Linked DNA regions of Canis lupus familiaris. Each later gene encodes a partner of the first gene's protein in a complex. Links are inferred from orthologs where the notes say so. Each region holds a gene or a part of one and is shown in the gene's direction. Other genes may lie near its edges.

Region 1 (2,804 bases):
GCGTCACTTGGTATGAAGGGTCCAAGGAGGTTGCTTTACTACCATCCCCCACCCTGTCCCTGCCTCTGATCCTCCTCTCTTCCTCAGACCAAGTGTGACCTGCGACACCCCCCAGGCAATGAGATTTACCGCAAGGGTACCATCTCTTTCTTTGAGATTGATGGACGGAAGAACAAGGTCTGTGGCTGAGGGGCAGTGGGGAGTCATTGGCACTGGTGGTCTGGGGGAAGTTAAACGAGCAGCTTTTTCCTGCTCAGGAAAATACTAGGCAGTCTGGCCAACAGATTAGCTCATTCCATTTTTATTGAGTTTCTGCTGTGAGGTAGTTAGTGGGAGGTATAAAGATGACCAGTAATTAGAATCTTTGAGTTCACAGTTCATGGCAAAAACAGATCTGCCAACATCCACTCAGATCCCAGGGATAAGTGTCATGAAACAAAGGATGGGTTATCAGGACCCAGAGGTAGCCAGCAGTTTCACATAGGAGATGATCTTTGATCCTTAACATGAAGGATAAGATAGGTAAGGGAAGCCCAAGGAGTGGGGTTCTGAAGGGCAGTCGTGGATGTACAGATGGTGGGAAAGGTAAAGATCATTCTGGCTGAGAAGCAGAGAGGATGAGGCAAGGCTGTTCCAAGATACAGAGCTCAGGTGGGGAGAAGGTGGCCAGTTGGGGGAGGAGTAGGGGTCACTGCAGGTTTTGGGCTTCAAACCTGCCTTAGTCTGTGGGAAGGAAGAAGGGAGTAATCTGGACCGTTAAGACTGTGGGACCATTCCTGGGGCAAAGAGGGGGCAGTAAGGGAGAAGCAGGGCATCTTGAATTACAGGGTAGAGCTCTGGCCTGGGTGCTGAGGAAGCTCAAGGGAAGGAGGCTGCTTTCACTACTGTTCTGTGTGGACTTGGGCATCCTGATGGCCCAGCATCTGGCTAAAAAGTCATGCCTCATATGCAGAAAATGTGTATAGAGGTAAAGCAAAGCAGCAAGATGAATCCTTTTGGTGGGGAGACCCCTAAGGCAGTTACTTTCAGTTTCAGAACACCTGATCTCCATTGTAGGTTAGGAGATCAGTCTCCAGTATGTGTGACTGGAGGCGGGAGAGTTTTGTGGTTTTTATTTTTTATTTTTTTTTATTTTTATTTTTTTAGTTTTGTGGTTTTTAAAAGGTAGATTCCTAAGACTGTCACCAGGGTAGAGGTCCTCTCCTAAGCCTTGGCAGTGTCTTTCTAGACATGCCACAACCTACTGACTTTTGTTACTGCAGCAGAGAGCAGTGGAAACCCCCCAGACAAGACTTAGGGGGAGGTATGGGGAACAGGGGTAAACTTGCCCAGCTCACCAGCAAGACAGGAGGTCAGACACTATCACAGAGCTGGTACATGGGCTCCTTGACTCTGAGAATTAGCTCTGCCTGAGTAGGAGGGACAGCCTAATAGAACGGGTCAGGTGCCAGGGAGGAAGACTCATCATCTATCAGCCCTGGGTAAAGAAACCAAATGACCACATTTAAGACAGGGTACCCAGAGTGGTGACACGCCTTTTCCTTTGCAGAGTTATTCCCAGAACCTGTGTCTTTTGGCCAAGTGTTTCCTCGACCACAAGACATTGTACTATGATACAGATCCCTTCCTCTTCTATGTCATGACAGAGTATGATTGCAAGGGCTTCCACATCGTCGGCTACTTCTCCAAGGTGAGTGCTCATCCAGATCATCTCTTGGCCCTGCCCTGAGCTGTGTCCCCTCCTCACTCACCTTCCTCCCCTTTCCAGGAAAAGGAATCCACAGAAGACTACAATGTGGCCTGCATCCTGACCCTGCCTCCCTACCAGCGCCGGGGCTACGGCAAGCTGCTGATCGAGTTCAGTGAGTAGTACCTTTGCTCCCGGCCAGGGGCCCCGGGGTGGGTACATGCGGGCCCAGGCTCAGTGCCAGTGCTGCCATTGTGCCTCCCTTGTAGACAAGCTAGGTTGCTATGATTGTTAACCCTGCTGTCACCAGGGTAGCTGGCCAGAAATAAAGGTGGGACTCTCCCAAGGCTTTCTCCATTCTCAGGGCAACTACCCTGCTTGTCTGGGCTAGGTTTTCAGCTCCTCACTCTTCCTTGGGTGAGGTTCTAAGCACCACCCAACTTTTCACAAATCTGACTCATATGCTCCCATCCAGGGAGCCATCAGCAGAAACCAGGTGAGCCACTGTTGCTCATCTGCCTGGTTCTGTGCCACCATAGAAATTCCTAAGTGAGGACCAGTGCTTCATATGCCACCATACAAATTCCTGAGTGAGGACCAGTGCTTCATTATCCCAGCTGTAACCTGAGCCTTGCAGATAGTGGATGCTCAAAATGCTAAAGTGATGTTAACTCAGCAAAAATAAGGAAGCACTGATTTGTGTGGATTTGGTCTCTGCTCCTTGGATTCAGGCAGGTCAGTCTCTTAAAGCCCACAAGGGACTCTGCCCCTCATCATCCGTGAACTCTTCTATGTCCCCCACCCGCAAGGCCCCCTTTTGCTTCCCAGCATCTTACATCACTCCACTCAACTCACCACTCACTGAACCCTTGGGATAGTTAAGTTCTGACCTGAGAGACAGGAGGGAGCCTTAGCTGTTTGGTGAAGTCACAGTGGCTTGACTTGATAAGGTCATGATCCATTTGAGTTATTTTATTAATAGAATGATGCCAAGATGGGGTCACATTCTCAGGAAGCCCTCAGCCTGATATGTGGGCGGATACTTAAAATGAATCCAAGCCTTGAAGCTCAGACCTCCATGGAGATAGGATGTGGGCAAGGACACCAATGTGATGTG
Region 2 (3,655 bases), on another chromosome or scaffold:
CTTGATCACATTTGGGAATCCTCACAGGATAAAGTCCAGACTTCATAACGTGGGACTCCGTGATCTGTGTAGCTTTGATTTCTACTTTCATATGTTATCCAGTGATAGTGAACTATTTATACTTAAATGGTAGGTAGCCTAATAGTGTTTCCTTGTCATGTTTCTATGCTTTTGTACTGGTTGCTTCCCTTTCATAGGGCTCACCTGCAGGCAGCCTGCTTCCCCCTATGCCTATGTCTCTGCCTCTCTCTCTCTCTCAGGAGTAAATAAATAAAATCTTTAAAAAAACAATAAATTGGTGAAAACCTTATTGCCCTATAGTTTTAAGAGTTGAGCTGGAGGTGCCTGGGTAGGTTAAGCATCTGACTTTGGCTCAAGTCATGATCTCAGGCTCCTTGCTCAGCAGGGAGTCTCCTTCCTCTTCCCCTCTTCCTCTTCCAATGTGCGCTACTCTCTCAAAATCTTTAAAAAAAATGTTGAACTAGTAGGTCATTTTTAACGATTTTAGAGCTGAAAGAGCTGTTTGTGGTGGAGTACTTTTGTTATCTTTGGGTCTGATGAAATCCAAGGGGACTGAAAATAACGTGCAAGAAAATCCATTTCTATAGTAATTGAAAGTGATCTTCAGGTCTGCCAGGAATTCACTGCCTGATTGTCTGATGAGCCAAGTTGGCTTCCACATCTTAATCCCTTACATTTAGTTACTCTTGCAAGTCTTAACTGTAGGTTTGACATAGAGTATGATTTCCGAAAGTTAGAATTCTTATTTTAGTTGGCCAGTAAAAGGTTTGGAAGGAGAAGATAATAGGGAGATTATAGGGTTCTAAATATGGAAATATTTTAGGGGCCCCTGGGTGACTCAGTTGGTTAAGCATCTCACTCTTGATTTTGGCTCAGATCATGATCTCGGGGTCCTGCTGTGGAGCCCAGCATCAGGCTCTGTGCTCAGCATGGAATCTGCTTGAGGATTCTCTCTTTGCCCCTCCCCTCTGGTGGCCCATACCCATGAGTTCTCTCTCTCCCAACTAATTTTAAAAAATCAGGAAATATTTAAAAAATTGTGTTCTTCAGATATTGAAAAATCCAAATCCTGCCAAAAGGTTGATACAGTGGATTTTATTGGTTTATAAGGTGTTAGATGATTTGATGATCTACATAGATTGACATTCTACTCAATTTTTTTTTCTGTTTACAATGTGTATGAAGGTGATTTTTTTGTTGTAAGGTACTATTGAAGTTTGACCTGAAGTATTAATCTGTACATAGCCATACTCTGCCAGTGTTTCAAGGAATACATGGGAACACATGATGACCCTCCCACGTGACCCTTAGGTATGAAGAGAAATTAAAATTAACCTGGCATTTTTTTTCTTTTTTTTTTTTTTTTTTTTTTTTTTACTCTTACAGGTGAGCGAGTACTGTGCTTTCATGGGCCTCTTCTTTATGAAGCAAAGGTATGAAATCTGTTTTCCTTTGAGAAGTTAGCTGAAATGACTGGTCAGATGACTTTTGAGCATCAGATTTCAGTGGTTGGTAGGAAGAGAGTTAGTTGCCTTTTTCAGATTGGTAGTCCATAGAGTCCGAATGGGTCAGGTACAGTATTGCCACCTTGTCTTTTACCTTGTGACCTGCTGATGGCCCAGCAGCTGGAGGGAGTATTTGAGGGGAAAGGTAAAAGCCTGGTTGTTTGTGGAGCAAGTGCATTGTGTACTTAGTGACTTGTGAGAAAATACTGCCAGTCAGTTTTGGGTGTAAATGATGCTGAGTGAGCTCTAAACTAACATGGCTGCGTTAAAGATAAACGTGAACATTAAAAAATGTGACAACATTGAACTTGCTGGTTTGTCTGTCAGAGTTTGAACCCCAGGGGCTTCCTTTCCTCTGTATCAGTGCTGTGGTCCCGCAGTCAGAACTGATTTTACATTTAGCCGGAGGTAAATGAGATGATGTGTTCCCAAGTAAAACAGATTTCTAAAAGTATATTGTTTCTGCTTTCAATGCAAATATGTTGTGACTGTTTTTAACACATAATTTTTAAAAACAGTATATAAAATAATAAAGCATTTAGTTAAATACAATTTCTACAGCATCTTTGGTATTTATATGTTTGAAAATGGTCTTAATCTTGAAGTGCCCATGTGACCAAATAATAACTGTTTTTACGATTTCTCAGTTGTTTCAAATACATAGATGTGTGTTTTTAAAGTTCTAAAATGGCTGAATATGGATTCATGGAGAATCTGGTAACTTTATGTTTTAATGATGTCATACTAACACTCCGTAAGTTGTGAATTCTATCAATCGTTTATATCTCTGAATGTTACTTTGTTGTGTCACCTCCACTAACCTGGCAGATTTTTTCCCTCAGGCAGCAGAAACTCCAGGGAATGATTTTTAAATGGCTGTTGGGATGGCTTAAACTATCATGGTTCTCTTGGTTTACTCAGGATAGACTTAATCCAGAACGAGTAGTGATTGCTTGTCATAGTTAATGATTTCCTCATAATTCATTCTAATTTGGCTTCTTTTAAGAACATAAAATGTTTTTCATCTGTCACTTGGCTAGTTGCTGATATTCTGCAGCAGAAACAGTTGATTGCCTTCCATAGGTAAATGACACTTTTTAATAATTTGGTATAAATAATTTTCTTTAGCTAAGTTTGTTTTTGAAATACATAATGGCTTCTGGTTGGTAGACTTTGAGAAAGTGCAAACACGGCTTTAATTAGCCGTTCTTGGAGTGCTGAGCCCATTGATTTAAGCGTCAGGGTGACCTCTTAGGGGGTTTTCAGCTTTGCTAGACTGGATCCAACAGATGGTGACTCTGAGCATCTTTATGACTGGTGATGAATGTGAGGAGCCCGGAGCTTGAACTCCTGCCTCTGTGAGAGTCACATTTTGTTGTGCTCGATTTGGCCATCAGTCTGAAAGGAGTGTCTCTGAAAGATCGCATACTTGAAAAGCACACGTGATGGTTGTCTTTTTCAAAACATATTTCTGAGTGAACTTTTTCTTTTTTATTTCAGTGTGTAAAGGTTGCCATAAAGGACAAACAAGTGAAATACTTTATACATTACAGTGGTTGGAATAAAAAGTGAGTATTAGTATTAGATCTTTAAGAGCAATGTTTTATTTCTAACAAGGTAGCTTGTGTCCTGTGTGTCATGGTTTTAACCTAATACATTTATCAAAGCAAGGGTATTGCATTTGTAGTATGAAGAAAGTAATAGAAACGAGGTTACACAGCCATTTCATTTTGAATTCTTTGGATTATATCTGTTCTAGTAGAATGTCTAATAATTGTTAGGCATCCAACTATTTTTCTGGTTTTGGTACATCTTAGTACAGCTTGAGTTTTTTGCCTCAGCACAAATTCATTTACTATATGTTATTGCAAACAGTTATACTCAGAGCTAGTTGGATTTTCCTGCCTAGAAAAGGAAAAAGGATAAGGTTGCCTGATTAGGAAGTAATGACCAACTTTTATATTCTGAGCTTTGGTAACAAATTAGGCAGAGAGTGATTTCATATGGTTCACTTTTTAGAATATTAATACAGATACAGAAATTTAATTACACAACCTAATGTTTCACCTTGAAGAGTTATTAGACTTTTTTTTTTTTTTTTAAGGAGTGTTGTACTGATCTGTTGTTAC
Region 3 (3,655 bases), on another chromosome or scaffold:
TATAAATTTTCATCATAGATCTTAACACATGAAAATGCTGACTGAACTTAGCTCCGCGCCTGGAATAGTTTGTTGGGCCTTTTTTTATTCCCCTGAAGGCCTTAAATTAAATTGTAATCTGTTACCAACAGAAGGTTTATTAAATTATAAAGAGGATATATCATAGTTTTTGTTCTAAAAAGTAAGACGTCCTGTTTGCTTAGTACATACAGTTTTTAAGTCATTTAACATACTTTTATTTGTGTTTATTGAACTTTGTTACCTAGCATTTTCACATTTTATTTCCAAATAAATAGTACAGAAAAAATTAGATGCTTGAGATAGCCAAATCCAAATTATCCAAAAATATTTGGTCATCTAATCCGCTGGATAAAGCAGTTTCTTTGAAATGTTACTTTAACTATATTGCTGTGACTTGACAAGGTTTTCCTAACTTAATATAACCTTCTTTCTTTTATTTTCAAAACTACACATTCTGGTAGGACTTTCTCCCCTGTTTCCACTGAGAATTTCTTCTCTAGAACTTAAGAAACTGGGGGTAAAATCAAAGTACATTAAAAGGGAGGAAGCCATGCTCTGAAAACAATTAAGCTAATGACATTAAACAACTGGTTCTCAAAGTTGGAGCCATACACTAGTATCTGCAGCTTCACCTGGGGACTTGTTAGAAATGCATATTCTCACACTGCCCCTAGACCTAGTAACTCAGTCTTAGAGTTGGGGGCGGGGCAGGGGGCTGGTGGTGCTGACTGCTCACATGCCCTGCATGGGATTCTGTTGCAGGTGCATATTAGCAAGTGACACCCACCCACCCAATGGCCAGCAGTTGTGTCCTGTTTTGTTTCATTTCATTTTCTTCTTATGTGGTGATTGATTTGTTGGTTTCAGGTTATAATGCCCTTTTAAGATATGAAGGATTTGAAAATGACCCTGGGCTAGATTTCTGGTGCAATGTCTGTGGCTCTGACATCCATCCGGTTGGCTGGTGTGCAGCCAGTGGAAAACCTCTTGTCCCTCCTAGAAGTAAGTATAATTTAAATATGTGTACCTCAGTGCAGTGTCACACAGAATAATATTCAAGTGATATCAAAATTACAATATTTTTTGGTTTCATGTAACTTAAATACTGGCAAGACATATTTGTTCTGTTTTTGTTAGTCTTCTTCAGAACCTTAATGCTCTGAATTGCAGGGAAAATTGTTGTGGTTTTTTTTTTGAAAAAAATAGTTTATAAAGCAATTCTACTCTTTGCTAAAGTGTAACTGGTTATTTCTTTTGTTTTAGCTATTCAGCATAAGTATACAAACTGGAAAGCTTTTCTAGTGAAACGACTTACTGGTGCCAAAACACTTCCTCCCGATTTCTCACAGAAGGTAAAGACAGGATCTTAGAAAGGACTGAAGTGTCAATTGAGAGCTCTAAAAAAGGAATAGCCTGGAAGTTTTTTTAAGGAATTGTTTTAATTTAGTGAGCCAGATGATCTAGTTAAATGTCAAGTGCACTCATTATTTTTAATGGTACAGTACTGAAATTATTTGTAGACCTTTGTCATGAATTCCAAACAGTTTTTGTCTGTTTTTATTTAAGGTTTCAGAGAGTATGCAGTATCCTTTCAAACCTTGCATGAGAGTAGAAGTGGTTGACAAGAGGCATTTGTGTCGCACACGCGTGGCAGTGGTGGAAAGTGTAATTGGAGGAAGATTAAGACTAGTGTATGAAGAGAGTGAAGATAGAACAGATGACTTCTGGTGCCATATGCACAGCCCGTTAATCCATCATATTGGTTGGTCTCGAAGCATAGGCCATCGATTCAAAAGATCTGGTAAGCACTTGTCACAAGACCACCTGTTGAAAACATCATTGAAGCTAAATTGTACTACTTGGTTATTTTTTCTCTACAGAATAGTAGAGATCAGAAATAGCATTCTAGTTATCTGGGCTGCTCATTCTATCTTAATTTAGGGAAGGTTCACACCAGAATATGAGTGTCCTAATATATTTATATTCCTTCCACTTGTTCTCAATTCAAATATAATGTACTTTTCATCACAACTACATTGTCTTACACTTTTCCTGTTCAGCCCATTTGAAAGATCTAAAGGTAGCCATTCCCTTTGCATTCAGTTTTAATCAAAAGAGGAAGATTAAATGTGGTTAGACTTAATACTGAACACACGTAAAGAATACTTCTAAAGTTGTGATTCCCTAACTAGGGAATTACCAGCATTCTGATTGGCTGAATGTATTTAATAGCACATGTACTCAGAAGAAAGAAAGACTATAGAGGATATTTTTCACCATATATGTAGAAGGCATGTATTTCTGCCGTGTTTTAGAGTATACATACCTTGTGGGTTTGAAACCTTCAAAGAAACGTGGTTTTGGTCTTCTCACAAATGCTGACAGATTAGTATGTAACTTTTCCTTGTAGATATTACAAAGAAACAGGATGGACATTTTGATACACCACCACATTTATTTGCTAAGGTAAGAAGTTTTTATAAGAACCCTCATTTGTAAATTAGGTTTGAAAGAGGGTTGTGGGTTTTTTCCTAAAATAATGGAAATCACAATTATATTTGTTCACTTATAAAAGGATTAAGACCTTGTGATCCATAGGTGTCACAACTATTGATTATAATTACTCTTAAATTCTGTCTATTTGCCTGAATTCTCTATATTCTCTAACGGAGGTTTGAGTTATAATATTAGGTAGGTAGGAAAAGGCATTTTGGTATTTTCATCTGATAAACATTTTCAGTTTGGTAATATTTTAATTATTAAAATGATAACATTTGTAATGGTGGATGTGCTTTCATGTAATTCTTTAGGTAAAAGAAGTAGACCAGAGTGGGGAATGGTTCAAGGAAGGAATGAAATTGGAAGCTATAGACCCATTAAATCTTTCCACAATATGTGTCGCGACTATTAGAAAGGTAAGACTATAGGTTTTAAAATACAGAAATGCATTTGTAAGAACTGGTCTTAAGGTAATAGGAGGAAGAGGCCCTTAATATACTCATTTTGACATACAAGGTGTATGTATCTGGATCTTCACTAGGGAGAAGGATACTAGTAATTTCAAAATAAATTTCAATTTTCATACCAGTGTTTTTATGTGGCTTGTCAAGATTGTCATCTTGAGTCTGCTGCCTTTATTTATGGAAATACATATATCTTGAGTTAAGAGGAAGAATATTTAAGTTACTTTCTGCTCAAAGCTAATCCAACAGAGAATTATTTTTTTGTTTTGGGAGTTTTTTGTAAAGATTTTATTTATTAGAGAGAGAAAGAGTATGAGCAGAGGAGAGGGGCAGAGAGAGGAGAAGCAGACTCCTTGATGAACAGGGAGCCCAACATGGGGCTCATTCCCAGGACCCCAAGATCATGACCATAGCTGAAGGCAGACACTTACCGACAGAGGCACCCAGGTGCCCCCAACACAGAATTGTGACTAGGCCAAGTTTATCTTCAGTTTCCAGTTTATTTCCTTTTGTGCCTTTATTATTCTTTTGATAGTACTTTATTTCTTCTTTTTTTTCTTCTTCTCTTGTGAAGCTGCTTTTGTGAAAAAATCAAGAAGTGTGGTTTTCAATTTAAGTAGGCATCAGAATACCTTGGGAAACTTAAAGAAAAATACAGGTGACCAGACCTC

Evidence for each region. The genes of interacting proteins can lie anywhere in the genome.
Region 2: KAT5 (region 1) and MORF4L1 share a complex: the UniProt entries of both Homo sapiens proteins name them as parts of the nuA4 histone acetyltransferase complex. The link is inferred for Canis lupus familiaris from reciprocal best matches to the Homo sapiens genes KAT5 and MORF4L1.
Region 3: KAT5 (region 1) and MBTD1 share a complex: the UniProt entries of both Homo sapiens proteins name them as parts of the nuA4 histone acetyltransferase complex. The link is inferred for Canis lupus familiaris from reciprocal best matches to the Homo sapiens genes KAT5 and MBTD1.

Annotation. Positions count from the first base shown.
Region 1 is NC_049239.1:52,003,405-52,006,208, reverse strand, and holds part of KAT5 (histone acetyltransferase KAT5), read left to right. Parts: coding exon 1-10; intron 11-87; coding exon 88-177; intron 178-1,549; coding exon 1,550-1,690; intron 1,691-1,768; coding exon 1,769-1,862; intron 1,863-2,637; exon of another isoform or gene 2,638-2,804. UniProt on the Homo sapiens protein: Catalytic subunit of the NuA4 histone acetyltransferase complex, a multiprotein complex involved in transcriptional activation of select genes principally by acetylation of nucleosomal histones H2A and H4.
Region 2 is NC_049224.1:58,633,782-58,637,436, reverse strand, and holds part of MORF4L1 (mortality factor 4-like protein 1), read left to right. Parts: intron 1-1,407; coding exon 1,408-1,454; intron 1,455-3,026; coding exon 3,027-3,094; intron 3,095-3,655. UniProt on the Homo sapiens protein: Component of the NuA4 histone acetyltransferase (HAT) complex which is involved in transcriptional activation of select genes principally by acetylation of nucleosomal histones H4 and H2A.
Region 3 is NC_049230.1:26,979,989-26,983,643, reverse strand, and holds part of MBTD1 (MBT domain-containing protein 1), read left to right. Parts: intron 1-888; coding exon 889-1,023; intron 1,024-1,284; coding exon 1,285-1,373; intron 1,374-1,587; coding exon 1,588-1,822; intron 1,823-2,431; coding exon 2,432-2,487; intron 2,488-2,831; coding exon 2,832-2,936; intron 2,937-3,655. UniProt on the Homo sapiens protein: Chromatin reader component of the NuA4 histone acetyltransferase complex, a multiprotein complex involved in transcriptional activation of select genes principally by acetylation of nucleosomal histones H4 and H2A.